Linked DNA regions of Struthio camelus. The main gene of each other region encodes a partner of the protein of the gene in region 2 in a complex. Links are inferred from orthologs where the notes say so. Each region holds a gene or a part of one and is shown on either strand. Other genes may lie near its edges.

The links. Proteins that work in one complex are often made in the same cells at the same time.
Region 1: the proteins of CIC (region 2) and ATXN1 are in contact, whole or in part, in an NMR structure (PDB 2M41), measured with the Homo sapiens proteins. The link is inferred for Struthio camelus from reciprocal best matches to the Homo sapiens genes CIC and ATXN1. Residues at the interface, in NP_001291744.1 of Homo sapiens: Val943, Phe944, Pro945, Trp946, His947, Ser948, Leu949, Val950, Pro951, Phe952, Leu953, Ala954, Ser956, Gln957; in NP_000323.2 of Homo sapiens: Pro572, Tyr573, Phe574, Ser578, Ile579, Ile580, Gln581, Leu582, Ala583, Leu587, Val590, Leu593, Phe598, Ser601, Ala602, Leu608, Asp611, Ser613, Phe631, Val633, Ala638, Gln639, Val640, Val642, Tyr648, Pro649, Phe650, Phe651, Trp657, Ile683.

The regions. Positions count from the first base shown.
Region 1 is NC_090943.1:99,619,831-99,627,593, forward strand, and holds the start of ATXN1 (ataxin-1), read right to left. Parts: upstream 3,127-7,763; 5' UTR 2,779-3,126; intron 1,993-2,778; exon of another isoform or gene 1,898-1,992; intron 1,350-1,897; exon of another isoform or gene 1,191-1,349; intron 1,130-1,190; exon of another isoform or gene 815-1,129; intron 748-814; exon of another isoform or gene 530-747; intron 1-529. UniProt on the Homo sapiens protein: Chromatin-binding factor that repress Notch signaling in the absence of Notch intracellular domain by acting as a CBF1 corepressor. Binds to the HEY promoter and might assist, along with NCOR2, RBPJ-mediated repression. Binds RNA in vitro.
Region 2 is NC_090980.1:392,521-399,895, reverse strand, and holds the start of CIC (protein capicua homolog), read right to left. Parts: upstream 3,054-7,375; 5' UTR 2,937-3,053; intron 2,505-2,936; exon of another isoform or gene 2,169-2,504; intron 2,105-2,168; exon of another isoform or gene 1,796-2,104; intron 764-1,795; 5' UTR 728-763; coding exon 1-727. Other genes in the region: ETS domain-containing transcription factor ERF, read left to right, coding at 5,026-5,047. UniProt on the Homo sapiens protein: Transcriptional repressor which plays a role in development of the central nervous system (CNS). In concert with ATXN1 and ATXN1L, involved in brain development.

The DNA of each region.
Region 1 (7,763 bases), on a different chromosome or scaffold from region 2:
ATACGAGGTACCACCGATCTTAATTTTACTGGTCAGAACATGTAAAGTATAGTACATGAATGGAGAATTACAGGTCTGTGGCCTAAAATACTAACGCACGGAGAGAAACTCTCATGAGCTTACGAACCACTTCAGCCTGCAAGCGGTTAAAACAGCCAGCCAACACAAAAGGACGACTCTGAAGAAACTTTTATGCGAGCTTTTATAAACGAAGAGGATTTTTAAAGGAAGTACCACACCTCTGCTAATTCGCTAATAATCGGCACAAGCGGAACCGACGATTTGGCTAACTCGATACGCACACCATATACTATGCCTGATACTACAGCACGCAAGGAATATTTTCCGGCCGAAGGAGGGAAACGCTCAGGGGCATCCTCCGATATCCCGCGGGGTAAAGCCAGGGGCCGCCCGGGCTGCACGGGGCGATACCACCCGCACGCCCCGCGAGGTGGCCCGGGCACACAGCGGGCGCACGCGCGCATGCACACACACACACACACACACACACACACACGCGCACGCACACCTGAACGGACGAGAAATACCGTCTGTTACCATGGCAGCCTCATCTAATTACCGGAGCGACGGGGGCTGGAGTAGGTGCCCTGGAAACCTGTGCCACCGGCACGCAGCTACGCGGGAGCGACGGGCGAGAGCCGGAGGGGATCTATCCACCTCCGCCTTACGTAAAAAAGCCGTGCGACTAGTAAAGTCGCCCTCCAGAAAGCACCGCTGCCTGTAAAACAGTGGGCCGTTTGTACGGACAAATTAGGGGCAATAACGTAAAAACTACATCGTGCTGTTCTCTCACCGTACCTCAGCAACAACTCCAGTGCGGCATTTTTTCCCCCGACCAGTCTCAATTTCTTTTCTCCCTCATTCACAACCTTTGATCCCTGTTACAAAGCTGAACTGTCTTCATCACCCAAAGAGAAATAGATTAACGTGAAGGCTGGATTTTCCTTTAATGAAAGCTTTCAATCGAAACCGAAATTAAAAGTCCTTGACTTCCCAGCACGTAAGCGAAGTAACTCACTATGCCTGACCACATCTGACATGTAAAGTAACCATTACCGCATAAAATAATACATTACCATGAACAGTAAAGGTTAAATGCAACTTGCCTTACAAAATACAAATTTCTTTACCATATGAAATGGACAAGATCTCCAGCAAAGGTCACCTACCTGCACAATTCCTGATTCGTCCACAAAATACATCTGTAAGGAGCAACGTTTTACCAAGCTAGCTTCCTTCGTGTGGGCATAACAGGAATGCCTTGTAATTTCTGCTAATTCTGCCTGGAGTTCAGGCTCACAGGGGAGAGATGCTGCTTGGAGGAGTCCCTATTACACAGCATACGGTAAACAAAATAAAAATAGCCCGTCGTTCCTGTTATCTACATAGTGCATTATATAACGGGCTTCCGACTTGTTTTCTTTTCTATTATTACTCTTCAGCAATTCCTCCCCTTCAGTAACATGTAAATCGCTCCCCATTCTGTCATTTGATTATTACCGCTATTACTATTACAGCCGGCGCTAACGTTTTCCAGCACGCTTTAAATTAAGACTCCGATATGCTCAAGGAACCGCATTTTACGGCTTCAGCACCTACAGGCGTCTAAAAACAAGGATTGGGGGGTGGGGGGAGAGGGAGGGAGGGAGGGAGGGAGTCATTTATCTGCGTTCACGCCGGCAAATTCCGCCGCTTCAGGCAAATAAATAAATAGATCTCAACAAGTCAGAAAAATATATATAATAATAACCGGGGGGGGGGGACAGCGTCGCCCGGACGGGGCTCCCGCAGCACCCCGGCCGCCAGCGGGGACCCGGCCCCCTCCCGGCCCCGGCCGCCCCTCTCCCCTGCCCCCCTCCCCCCGCGCTGCCAGTACCAGGTGGCGCCTCCGGCCGGCCCGGGCCCCTACGTGCGGCAGCGGCGGCGGCGCGGGGCCGCTGCCGGGCACAGCCCCGCCGCAGCGCCGCCTCCTCCGCCTCGCCCGCCCCCCGCTTCATTCACCCCTCCGGCAGCCGCCCGGCCCCTACTACAGACGCCGTGCGGCGGCGGCGGCCGGGCCCCCGCCCCGCCGGGCCCGCCCGCCCGCACGCACTACACAGCCACACAACCTCCCCACCCGCCGCCAACGGCCGCACACTCACCCCCCCCCCAACCACTACACACCACCACAACCCCCCTCCCCGCACAGTCAGACACACACACACACACACACACACACACACACACACACACACACACACACACACACACACACACAGCCCGAGGCCGCCGCCGCCGCACCAGGGGCGGCCGCGGCTCGCAAAATGTCCACCGTCCCCGCAGACACCGACACCCCCGGCCGGGCCGCGCCGCGCCGCGGCGGGGGGGGGGGGGTTGGGAGGATGAGGAAGGTGCGGCGGGGGGGGGGGGGCGGAGAAGAGAGGGCCTCACCAGCAACTCCGGCCGCGGGGCTGCCCCCCCCCGCCCCCCGGCCCGGCTCCTTCCCTTCCCCTCGGAGGACATTTCCCGCCCGGCCGCCCCCTCCCGCGGCGGCGGCGCTCGGCCATTTCGCGGCCCCCCGCGGCCGGGGCCCGGGCCCGGGCCCGGGCGGTGCGCTCCCCCCCCCCCCCCCCCGCAACCCTGTGTTTTTCCAGCTGGAAATCGCTGGCGGTTCGCAGTCTAAACAAGGGAAGAAGCCGGGGAGAGGGAAAGGGGGGGGGGATGGAAACAAGGCACAAAAAAAAAAAAAAGCTGAGGAGGAAGAAAAAAGCCACTTACTGTAAAGTGTCAGTGGAGGTGGGGTTGGCGGGGGGGGGGCCAGAGGGAGACTCGCGCACTAATGTCCTCCTAGCTGCTCACAGGGCTTGGGGCTGCTTGTTCGGGGCGGGGGGGGGAGGTGGTGGTGGTTGTTGTTGTTGTTTGGTTGGTTGGTTGGTTTTTTTCCTTCCCCCTGCAGTGACACAGGTCCGGGATGTCTCCACCACTGTAGTAGAAATGATGTCTGCGGTACAGAGCTCGCTCCCTCTCCTCTCTCTCTCTCTCTCTCTCTCTCTCTCCAGTATGTAAATGTGTAACAGAAGCCAAATATGGAGCAGTTGGCTGCCTCTGCAACAGCTCAAGGATCCTACTTCATGCAAACGGGGGGGGGGGGGGGGGAGAGCAGGGAGAGGAGGAGGAGGAGGAGGAGGAGGAGGCAAGGCAGCGCTTTGGCAGGCGGCCAGCAGAGCCACACAGATTATTGCATCCGCGCAGCGCCGCCGCCGCCTTAACCCTTTGCGGCCGCTGCTGCTGCGGCGGCGGCTGCTGCGCGCCCCGCGGGCCGCCGCGTCGCCCCTTGCGCCGCCACCACCGCCCTTTTATTTTTTAACACCTCAAAGGCCAGGCCGGCTCCCGGCGGCGGGGTTCGTGTGCGCACGCCGCTGCTGTGCACAACCGCCTGCTCCTCGGGATCGCCGAGCACTTTGCAAGCAGGAAGAAATACATTTGGGGGGGGGAGGGGGGAAGGAAGGCCAAAGGGAAAAAAAAAACTATATGGCTTACCAAGGAAAGAAGAGCCGACTAGCAAAGCATGCTGTCCTTCAGAAATGGCAGGGAATGCTGGTTTAAGGGATGCATGAAAATCAGCGGCTCAATCAAGGCTGGTCTGCCTCTCTAAGGGAGGAAATAAAACTGTGCTGGAAGCCAGGGAATGCTCTGAAGCAGCCTCTGTGAGAGTCAGAAAGGGGTGATTTTATTTAAGATGCCATATTGCATTTCGCTGTGGAGAACTGCAAAGTGTTTTTGAGCAAGAGCCTGCATCCCACTCCCGTTTTCTGAATTAGTTTTATTTATCCAGATCCTTGGCATATACTTGAGTTGCTTTGCAAAAAGTACCTTCTACTTCATTCAGACCAAAAGAGAGTCTGACTCATATCATCACTGAACTACAAGACAGTCAGGGCTGAACCACGCATGTTTGGGTACTAAGGCTCTCCAGATGCTTAGCACGCATTTCATCCAAGATCCCTTCACATCTCTCCCAGCTGTACACAGACCACCGTGAGTCCCTCCCGAACTCTCCCCTTGGCTAAGGCAGTTTACACTTCCACAATGCTCCAGCATCAGCTCGTTAGCCCCTTACTGCTCTCAACATGGGTCTCCGTAGTTCATAAACTGCAGTGATGGGCAAACAACAAACACAGATGCAAACTGGAGACCAAAGTAAATGTCCTCTTTCTGGACTGGCTCAGTCTGGTCTTCCAAGTTTTAGGAGAAAAGAAAAGACAAAACACAATATTACCAAGACGGGTACAGTTTAAGGAAATTAAAACAATTAATGGAAGAAACAAATGGGAAGAATACAACCAAAGGATGGTAGGGCTGTTAGGCTTGCATGCAACCTGACAGCGGGTCCATAAGCAACTACTCGTGCTCTGCTTTGGCATCAGGAAGGGACGTGCCGCATGGAGAAAGCCTCCCCCCCGCCACCACCACATTGCAAAACCGTTGCATAAATACTGAAGGCAATTATATGCCTGCTCCACCGAGCTGGAGGCTGTGCGATAGATGCACCAATGCACAAGCCTTGGAAAGGCTCCAGGGAGCAGTGTATGTGGACTCCCTGCAATATGTCCATTCAGACCAGACTGCTCATTGCAGCTTGTACCAATTTGCCCACACCACAACAGACTCCAAGGGAGCAGATTCTAGTGTAGATATATGTGTCCATTAGATATTTCTAGCATTAGAGGTTAGATGCAAAATACCCTAGGACTCTCTCTGTCATTCTGCTGATCAGCAAGTCGTCCCTTCTATAAACAACTGTGCTAGTTCACCGTAATTGCTAAAGAATGTAATAATAACATTTTAAGCTGCAGCGCTCTTGATTTAGAGTAGATACTGAATACAGACTCACTTTATGAAGCGTAAGAATCTTCTACTACTGCAGCCTCTACATCTTTAGTTCAGGTTCACTATGAAATCCAACATCATCTTCCATTTTATGAGTGATCTGGGGATAGGAGCAGCAACAGGCCAAGATGTCTGGTCAAACCTGCCACTCAGCACCATGTGATAGCGCATATCCAGCAGCAAAGCAGAAAGCAAAATTATCTTCAACCAGCTAACGCAAGGTTCATTGATTTACCAAAAGTAACCAAGGGAGAGAAACAGGGACTGAGGATTACTGAAAATCAAGTGAAAGCCCTGGAGAAGCTGCAACCCCGTCACCAGGGTTCATGTCTGAGTATGCGGCAGTCTCCCGTCCGCCACCTTTTTTATTCCAGTTGCACAGAGTGTTACCTCAGGAGAAAGGAATCTTTCCTTCTCAGCCGCTCGCTCACCTTGCCAAGAGGTGTGGCACACGCCGGGAAAGAGAAGCCACATTCATGCTGAAGCAAGCTTTGGGCAACTTTCCCTTCTGCAGCAGGCTCATGTAAGAGGCTTGTGTTATTTCTCCGTTCTGCGGCTATGGTGTTTGCCACAGGACCCACGTTTTTTTGCCACGCACGAGGCGCTGAGCTCCTAAATCTCTGCCTGTGTTTCTGCCTCAGAGTTGAAAAGAGACCCCTAAAATGTAAGTCAGTAAGAAATCAAAGCAATATTGTCTTCCTGAGCCAGCAGGCAACCTTAAAACCGTAGCTTTGGGAAATGCCATAACTCCAGCCAACCACCTCAGGTTCATAAGCCGTTCCTCGCCTTCTTCTGACTGGGAATATGTCGGGTGCATAACAGGCGAAAAAGAGATGGGGACTCCCCTTATCATGCCTCCCTTAACATTGCCTGGCCCAGAGGATATACTACCATATCACGAGATGTCATTGTGCCTTTGCAGTTCCTTTATTCAGGGCCTATACTGGGACTCCAGCTATTCTCTATTCTATACCACAACATACAGAAGGGCTGCTGAGGGCCAAGGGGCTGCGAAACAGCACTTGAATGTGATCTGTGGTGACTGGCTGGGGCAAAGGTCGCTTAGTGTGTACTAAGGCAGTGTGGCCTATTGACTCAGAGGTGCAGGACTATGCCCCAAGAGAAGGAGTCACTTGCTACAGAGAATAAACCTGAATTTACCTGCCACCAGGAAGGTTCTCACAGCAGAGGGAGGCAACTCAGCAGCAAAGAGGTGAGGTCTTGCTCCAGGGCTAGCCCGGGTACGTCAAACGGGCTCTCACAGCAGCTCCGAACTGCCCTAAACTGCCTCACCTTGCCCCCTCTGACAAGGGCATATAGCAACAGGGGTGGACCCCAAAGTAGTAGCAAAATTCCAAAACAACCTATTCTGTTACCGGCTGTCCTGCCCTCAGGGGAGAGAGTGAGCCACGAAATCCAGGACAGATGCTAGTCACGTGGTTGAGCGCAGTGTGGACGGGGCTCAGATACTGCAGTGGCGAGTGGGACGCAAGAACACACGTAGACTCCAGCATTTTTATTTACTGCTGGTGACATGCCAAAAGTGATATGACTCCCAGCTGAATGCGCTCTTGACCAAAAGCCATTAATCAATTTGACATGGAAGGTGCACACTGTCTAGAAGAAACTGTCTTTCAATGCACTAGTTGTACTGTGTCATCTACACTGCGTATTTTATACAATTAATAGTTAACTATGAAAAATGAGGGAATACGAGGCATAAGAAGTTGGATTTTTTTTAACATTCGCACCCAGGGAAATCCAGTGATTAGAGACGTACTGCGTGTGAAAAATAATCTTAAAATTATCAATCATTACAGTCTAAGTCTTCAATTTGTCATAAAATGACATTGTTGGTCTCATTACAGCCTCTAGTGGACAGTAGTAATCCACTTCACAGACCTGTCATACACTTTGCTCAAGTGACAGGCATTACCAAGGTGGAGGTTACTGTGAAAGAGAATGAACGTACAATCAGTTTTCTCCTGTGGCAAAAAAGGATTTTTGAATACAATCAGAGGCTTGTTGGCATTGCTCTTAAGGTGTCTTGCTTTGTGCTTCAGGTATTAATACTGGCTTGCAAATAAACAGAGAATTTCTGCTATCCATTTCAGTTTCAGACAGCTTTCATAAAAACTAAATTCATCTCAAATATTTTTATAACAGAAAATATCGGTTGCCATGCTTTTGGCTTAAGTACGATGTTTTTATTCCAACTCAGAATCTGCCGACTGTCCAATCCACCTCCTGTCTATTTATAGCCCTCTTGTATTCAGATAATTTTCAATAATGCAGTTATTTTCATTTTTATTTCAGACATATGCAGTTGATTTAAGGTATTTTAGGAGCTCTAACATATGAGAAATTCTAATTTGGATTACAGCAGACTAATTAAGGTACACTTTCCTCAGGGAAGTTAAAAATGAACACGATCAGCACAAGAACATATTTGGAATGTATTCTTTAACTTGAAGTGCCACTTATGTGAACATAATGGCATGTGACTAACATCTTTATTTTCTCTGCGTTCTCTTAGAAATGAGTGTAGCCCCTATCAGAATAGGGATGTTGAGGATGTTCTCCAGAGCTCCGACTGTGATTGTTTTCAGATGGAAGGGAATTAGATTGGCAGACCCAGAGAGCCAATGCTGTCTCTTTAAAGCCACAAGTATCTCATGCAAATTAACATTTAGTGAAATGAGAGCTAAGCATTCATGAAGACTAAGCAAGTATGTAGTACTACAGTACGACTCAAAGAGAAAAACTTTTGGTCTAAAATGCTGAGGTCCTTTGGAAGCAGATTCCAAAGAAAGGCTGCTGTTCATTTTTTTATTTTACCACATCATGCCGAGTTACGTGTTGTAGTGGCCTCT
Region 2 (7,375 bases):
CTTTGGCGCCGATCTCCACCACGGTGCCTTCGCGGTAGCCGCCGTCCTCCTCCTCCTCCTCCTGCAGGCGGGCGCAGACGGCCGTGCCCAGCGCCAGGGTGCCTGGCGGCGGCGCGGCGTCCAGCACCACGTCCGGGGCCGCCGCCGCGTAGTACGTCAGGCTGCGCTCGCCGGCGAACTGCACGGCCAGCTCCCGCCCGCGCTCCCGCACCTGCTTCACCACCGCTGGCTGGAAGAGGCCGCCGGGGCGGCGCGCCAGCACCCGCTGCGCCCGCAGGCGCCGCAGCGCCGCCCGGCCAGGGCCGCCCGCCTCGTCGGCTGAGTGCTCGCTGGCCGTGTCGGTGCCGGAGGAGGACGGGCCGGGCGCCCCTTCGGCCTCCTCGTCCTCCTCCTCCTCGCCGCTCCACTCCTCGCCCGCTGGTGGCTTCTTGCGTGGTGCCCGGGCCTTGAAGGTGGCCGTCTTGCGGCTGCCCGGCGGCTCCTCGCCGCTGGCGTCCCGCGGCCCTGGATCCGTCTGCACCGCTGCTGCCGCTGCTTCCTCGCCGCCGCCGTCTTCCTCGCCCTCCAGCTTTGGCCCGCTGGCGGCACCCTCGGGTGCACGGCGCTTGGGCACCTTGGGGCGGCCGGTGGGCGGCAGTCGCCCGCTGCTCCCGCACAAGGACGAGGAGGAAGAGGAGGAGGAAGAGGAAGAGGAGGAGGAGCTGCCGGCCTTCCTCACCGGTTTCATCTTCCTCTTGCCAGGCCGGGCTTCAGCCACGGGGAGCTGTGGGGAGAGAGTTAAAGTGGGGGGTCAGGGGGGGTCATCAAAATGCCTGGGCTGGGCCTGTGGCCTCTACGTGGCATAGGGGCACACCGGGGTGGGGGGGGGGAGAATATGGGGGGGTGGCCCCTAGTGGGGGGCTAGTATCTTGGGAGGGGAATCAGGCATTTGGGGGGGGGGAATTGCCCCTGGAGGGGGGTGATCATCATCAGGGGGGGAAATTGGCCCTTAGGGGCAGCTTGGGGGGGGGACTAGCCCCTTGGGGGGGGAATTGCCCCCTGGGGGGGGAATGGTATCATGGGGGGGCACCTTGGGGGAGAGAACAGCCCCTTGAGGGGGGACGAACCCCTTTGGGGGGGTCCTGGTACCTTTAGGAGGGGACCATCACCCAGGAGTGGCTCCTGGGTGTGGGGGGGGACCAATCCCTTGGGGGGAGCAGCCCCTTGGAGGCACCTTGGGGGGGGGCAGCAGCCCCTGGGGGGGTCACCTGGTCCCTCGGGGGGGACATCGACCCCTTGGGGGGCACTGGTTCCTGGCAGGGGGGACACTGGCCCCTGCTCGCAGCTCCCCAGGCCCGGCCCAGCAAGGTCTCTCCCCCCGGGCCCAGAGCCCCGTCACAGGGCCATGTCTGCCCTCTCCGTGACCCCCCCACAACCACCCCCCCGGTCCCCCTCAGGGAAGACTGGGTGGATCCTGCCCCCCCAGCCAGTGGGGTGGTCCCTCCTGCCCCCCTGCCCGGTAACCCCGGGGGGCCCCCAACCCCCCCATTCCCGGAGAGGGGTGGTATGTCCCAGCAACCCCCTCCCGGGGGGGTACTTTTGGCCATTCCCCCCCAAAAAAAAATTCGGGGGGGGTCGGTCCCTAATAGTGACACCCACTATTTGGAGGTTTTGGGACACTTCCCGTTTTGGGGGTGTCGGTGCCCCCCTACCGCTCCCCCTTGCAGTTTTTGAGGGGGCGGAGTTGGTACGTCCCAACCTTCCCCCTCCCCCCAGTTTCGGGGGTGTTGGTACCTCCCAGTGCCCCCCCCATTACCTGTTCGCCCCCCCCGCGCCGTGCGAGGGGGGAGCCTGGCGCAGCCCGCTCCCCCCCGCTCTGCGGAGAGGTTGGTACAGCCCGGCCCCCCCTGTCCCCCGCGGGATGGTCCAGCCCGAGCCCCTCTCGGGCCCCTCCGAGCCCCTTTTACTCCAACCGACAAAATGGTGAATGAATCTGGACCAGCTGGCGGCGCCGGCCAATCGACGGCCACAACCGCCCGACTGGCGGCGGGCGCGGCCAACCGGCGCGCAGCACGGCCCGGTCTCGGCCCGCCCCCTCAGACTGTCACTCCTGCCGGCCAACCGCCGCCTCGCGGGGGCGGGACAGCTGCGCGGCGCGGCCCGCCCCTCCGCCCTCGAGCGGCACTTACAGTAGCCAATGAGAAGGCGCGGCTGGGGGCCGCGGGGAGGTGCTGCGTATACAGTAGCCAATGGAGGCCCCGTGGGGGCGGGGCGAGGCTAGGCCCAGACTTGTTTACCTGGCGCTGCGCGAGGAGGAAGCGCGGGGCCGCGCGGCGGCTGCCGGGACGGGTAGTTCCTCGCGGGAGCGGCGCCGCCTAAGCCGGTGGGCGAGAACTACAGCTCCCAGCATGCCCCAGCGAGGATGCGGGAAGGGGCGCGCAAGGGCGCCTGGGAGAGGTGGTCCTCCGCGGCCGCCTGGCAGGCCGGGGAGGTGGCCGCGGCTCCCGGCATGCCCCGCGCGAAGCCTGCCGGGAGTTGTAGTTCGCACCTCTCCCTGCCGGCAGCGCGGCGCGGGGGCTGACGGGAGCGGGGCTTCGCAAGAGGTGGCGATAGCGGCCCCCCCTGCCTTCAGGTGTCCCGGGCAGGGAAGCGACTACGGCTCCCGTCAGGCCCCGCGGCACCGCGGCCCGCTGGGAGTTGTAGTCCCGCGCGGGCACCGCCCCCGGCTTGGGCGCGCGGGAAGGACTACAGGTCCCGGCATGCCACGCGGAGGCCCCTCCCCTTCCTCCTCCCCCTCCCGCCCCTCAGGGCCGGGGAGTCCAACTCCTCGGGGAGGGGGGAGGGGACAGCAGCCCCCTCCCCGCGCCCCCCCGCTCCCCTCCCGCCCGCCCCCGCCCCTCCCGGGGGCGCTCCATTTGCATGTCATTTGCATCTCATTAGCATATGCATGAGCTCACCCGGCGGCCTCTCCCGGTCCCCGTCTCGCCCCGTCCGGGCCCCTCGCGCTTCCCCTCAGCAACAGCGGAGCCGCCGCCGACAGACGCCCGGCCAATCAGAGGCCGGACCGGGCACCCCCCCACACTCCCCACGTGGGGCCCGGGGGCGGGGCCCTGGCCAGCCAATCTGCCCCCGGGGCGGCCGAGGGATGAGGTCACCGCTCGGCGCTCCCATTGGGTGGCGGCAGTGCCAGCGCGGGCCAATCGCCGCCCGCCTCCGGCAGGACGGGGAACGAGGAGAGCGGGAGGGGGGAGGAGCGCACGCGGGGCGTGTGTGACACGCTGGAGCCTGCCGGAGCCCCGCCCCCGCCCCCGCCCCCGCCCCGCCCCCGCGCGCCCCGCCCCGCCCCGCGCACGCACGCGCACTGGCACGCCCCGAGCGGCGCGCGCTGCCGCGGCGTGGGGCGGGCGCGCATGGGGCGAGCTCACGTGCCGTGCAGCGGCGCGGGGCGGTCGCGTGCACCGTGCAACGGCGTGGGCTGCGCCCGCGTGGGGCGGGCCCACTGGGGCGTGCATGTGCCGTGCAACAGCATAGGGGGGAAAGGGTGCACGCGCGGCCTGTGCGCTCGTGCCGCGCACTGCCGAGGGGTTTGCGTACGGGCGCGTGCACGCGGCACGCGCAGGCGTGGGGTGGGAACGCGCGCCGTGCAACGGCGTGGGGGGAGGTCCCGGGCTGCGCTGCCCCTTTAAGAGCGGCTTTTGCCCCCCCCCACCCTGTTATCAGCCGGGCTCTGATAAGGTTTTAATTGGGCCCGGCGGGGCTTTGCACGGCCCTCGTGTGAGGGGGCCCAGTGCCCCTCGTGCCTCAGTTTCCCCTGGCCGGGGTAAATGGGCAGGATTTGGGGTGGGGGGGAGGGGTAGCCGCTTAATGCATCTCCTGCACCGCAAACTTCCAGCCGATAATTATAGTCGGGGAAGCTGCATTATTTATACGGCGCCTATTTATAACCCGGGGCCCGGCCCTGGCGGCACCAGCCCCGGCCCGCGGCCCCCAGCCGGCGCCCGCTGCCGCCTCCGGCCTCCCGGCTCAGCCCTGGCCCCGCGCATGCGAGGCCCCGTGCAAGGTCCTGCAAAGAGATGTATGCGAGAGCTGGTGCAGGGGTGCGTGTGACAGCCTGTGCGATGGCACCCATAAGGCAGCGTGCGAGTGCACGTGTGAGGGCAGTGCAAGGCCCCATGCTGGGATGCGTGCGAGGCCCTGTGTAAGGCTCCATGCAAGGCTCTGTGTGAGAGTGCGTGCGAGGCCCCGTGCAATAGCACATGTGAGGGCACGCAGAAAGCCTTATGCAAGGCCCTGGACAAGGGCACGTGCAAGACCTGGTGCAGGGGTGCGTGCAAGGCCCTGTGCAAGGGTGTGTGCACGGGTGTGCGCAAGGCCTGGTGCTCGGGCACGTGCAAGGGCCGGGGGTGCAAGCGGCCCAGCAAGGTGCACGGGCGCTGGGGAGTTGCATCAGCCGCCAGCACAAACGAGGCAAAACAACCTGGGAGGTTAATTACCCCCCACGGGGGCCGCTCATGCCAGGGCCTCGCGTGCTGGGGCCTTTGCCTCCTGGCCTGGCCCTGCGGCTGCGTGTGGAACACGCCGGGCCTGCATGTCATGAGCTTTGTCGGGTCTCAGCCCAGATCCCAGAAGGGGTCTTCATGGGGACCCCCTTTCCCCTCCTGCCCCAGATGTCACTGTCCCAATCACCCCTCCCCATCTGCCCCCTCCTGCCTCATGGACCCCGTTGTCCCCAATTGCCCCCTCCTGCCCCATGTGCCTCCCTCCTACACCATTGCCCCTTTCTGCCCCATCGCCCCTCCCCGCGCGGCCCCTTTAAGCGCCCCCTCCTTCCCCTCCCCCCGTGGGCGTGGCCGGGCGGGGAGGCGGTGGCGGGAGGGGGAGGGGGGCGGGCTTAGTGTCCATGGCGACGCGGCGGTGACGTGAGCAGGGGGCGTGGGCGTCCCGGGCTGGCGGGGAGGGCGGGGGGCGGCGGCGGCGGGGGGGGGCGGCGGGGGGGCCGAGCCCGACACCGACCCGGCGGCGGCGGCGGCTGCAGCGCGCGGAGCCATGAAGACGCCGGCGGACGCAGGTGGGGACTGCGCCCCCCCCCCGGGGCGGGGGGGGACTTACCCGGGGGGAGGGGAAGTTTTTATATCTGTAATTTTATTTCGCCGCGGGGGGGGGGGGAAGAAGAGCGGCGGCGCCGGTTGACGGGGGCGAAAGTTGCCCCCCCGCCGCCGCCGCACAAACTTTGGGCCCCCCCCGCCCCACGTGGGCGGCCGCCCCCGCGCCCGGATCTACTACTGTTTTTAAAGGGGGGGGCCGCTGGGGGGGGGGAGGAACCCCCGGCGGGGGGGCGGGGGGCTCCGGCGGAGTTGGCGGCGCCGGGACCTGTTGCTTCGCGCGAAGCGGCGGCGCCGGCCGGGCCCCCCCATAACCAGGCGCCTGCGGGGGGGGGTATTTGTTCCCCCGGGGGGGTCATTTATTTGCCCAGGCGGGTGTTTATCCCCGCGGGGGAGGTTTTATCCCCGCGGGGGGGGGGCATTTATTCGCGGGGGGAATCTCCGCGGGGGGGTGTTTATCCCCACCGGGGGGGTGTTTTCCCGCGGGGGGTGTTTTTCCCGGGGGGGAGGGGCGCGGGGGGGGCTGTGCCACGTTGTGTGTGCGCGCGGGGGGGAGGGGCGCCGCGGGGAGGGGGCGGGGGGGTCGTGTCCCCCCTCCCCCCGTATCCCCCCTCCCCCCCCGCGCCAAGTTGCCGTCGGCGCCTTTTGGGAACTTTTTTTTTGTTCCCGACAAACAACGAGGGTTTAAGGTGGCGCCGGCTGGGGGCGGGGAGGGGGGGGTCGTCGTGACCCCCCCCAACACCGCTGGGGGGGCGGGCTAGCGGTCACGGCGCCGTGGGGGGGCGCCCCCCCCCCGCGCGGTGCCACCTGAAACGTGTTAGGGGGAGGCGAAGGTTGGGGTCGGACTTTACCCCCCCCGGCCCACCTTAAGGGGGGGGGCGGGCGCTGCGGTGCCCCCCCCCCCGCCCCGATTGTCTGCAGGAATCCGGCCGGGCTGGAGCGCGTCTCGCTCCTGTTCAAACTTGTCCCCTCCCCCGCCCCGTACCCCTGCCGCCGCCGGCCCCGCCCCCCGCCCGCGGCAGGCCCCGCCCCGGCCCCGCCCCCTCCCCCGCGGAACTCGCCGAAACTTTGCGCCCCGCGGGGGGGGGGGAAGGGCGGGGCGTGACCCCCCCCGCAGAGTTGGGGGTCCCGGCGCCCCCCAAGTGTGGGGGCCGGGGTCCCTGTGCTCCCCAGGTGTGAGGTTTGGGGGGGGCCGGGGATCCTCTGCCCCCCGCGTGGGGGACCCCCAATAAGGGGGGGGTGGGTGGGTCCCACGTGCGGGACGGGATTGGGGGGGGGGACATGTTCCCCCTATCTGGGGGGTCAGACTTGGGGGTCTGTGTGTCCCCTCCCGAGGGGCTCATCGTCATGACCTCCCTCCATGTGTGGGGCCGGGGGGGGGGTGATGCAATGCAGGGGGGGAGCGACGACACGGGACACGAGTCCGGGGGGCCCAGGCGTGCTCGGGGGGGGCGGGGAGGAAACTTGGAGCGGGACGGCCGGCGGACAGGGCGTGCTTTGTGTGCGCGGGCGTGTGCGCAGGCGTGTGCGGGGGGGGCCGGTGCCCACGCGTGCTCCAGGCGCTGGGGCGGGGGCGCAACGCACACGCGTGTGTGGGGGGTGGGGGCGCACACACCAGCTCGCACGCATGTGTGGGGGGAAGGTCACTCTCGCACACGCGTGTGTGTGGGGGAGGACATGCTTGCACACGTGTGTGCGGGGGGCCCTCACCTGTGTCGTGCCCCCCTCCAAGGGCTGTGCAGAGCTCGGGGCCGCGAGAACCCCCGGACACCTGGGCCCCCGGGGCCGTGTTGTGCTGGGGGGTGTCCCGGACACCTGGGCTGTGGTGGGCTGGGGGGCGTCCCGGATGCCTGGGCCCCATGGCCCCCCCGCAGGACTTGGGGGGGGCGGCCAGGAACAGTGGTCCATTGATGGGGCCGCGGCCGCCGCTGATGTCACGTCCCAGCCCCCCCCTTCCCCCCTCCCAGCTAATTAGCGAGAACAGGCCCCGAGTGTGCTGACGAGGGGGAGGGGTGGCCAGAGGGGGCTATGGGGTGCCACTAGCCCATGGGGTGAGGCTGGGCGTGGGGGGGGGTATGGGGCTATGGGGCACCAATAGCCCAGGGTTGTTGTTTATTGGGCCACTTATGGGGTGCCCCATACCCGGGGGGGCTGGTTATGGGGCAAAGGTGCTGTTCATGGGGGCAGTTATGGGGTGCCCCATAAGCCAGGGTTGCTGCTTATGGAGGGGGCAGTTATGGGGCACCCCATAGCCTGGAGGTGCCAGTTATGGGGTGCCCCATAGCCTGGGGGGA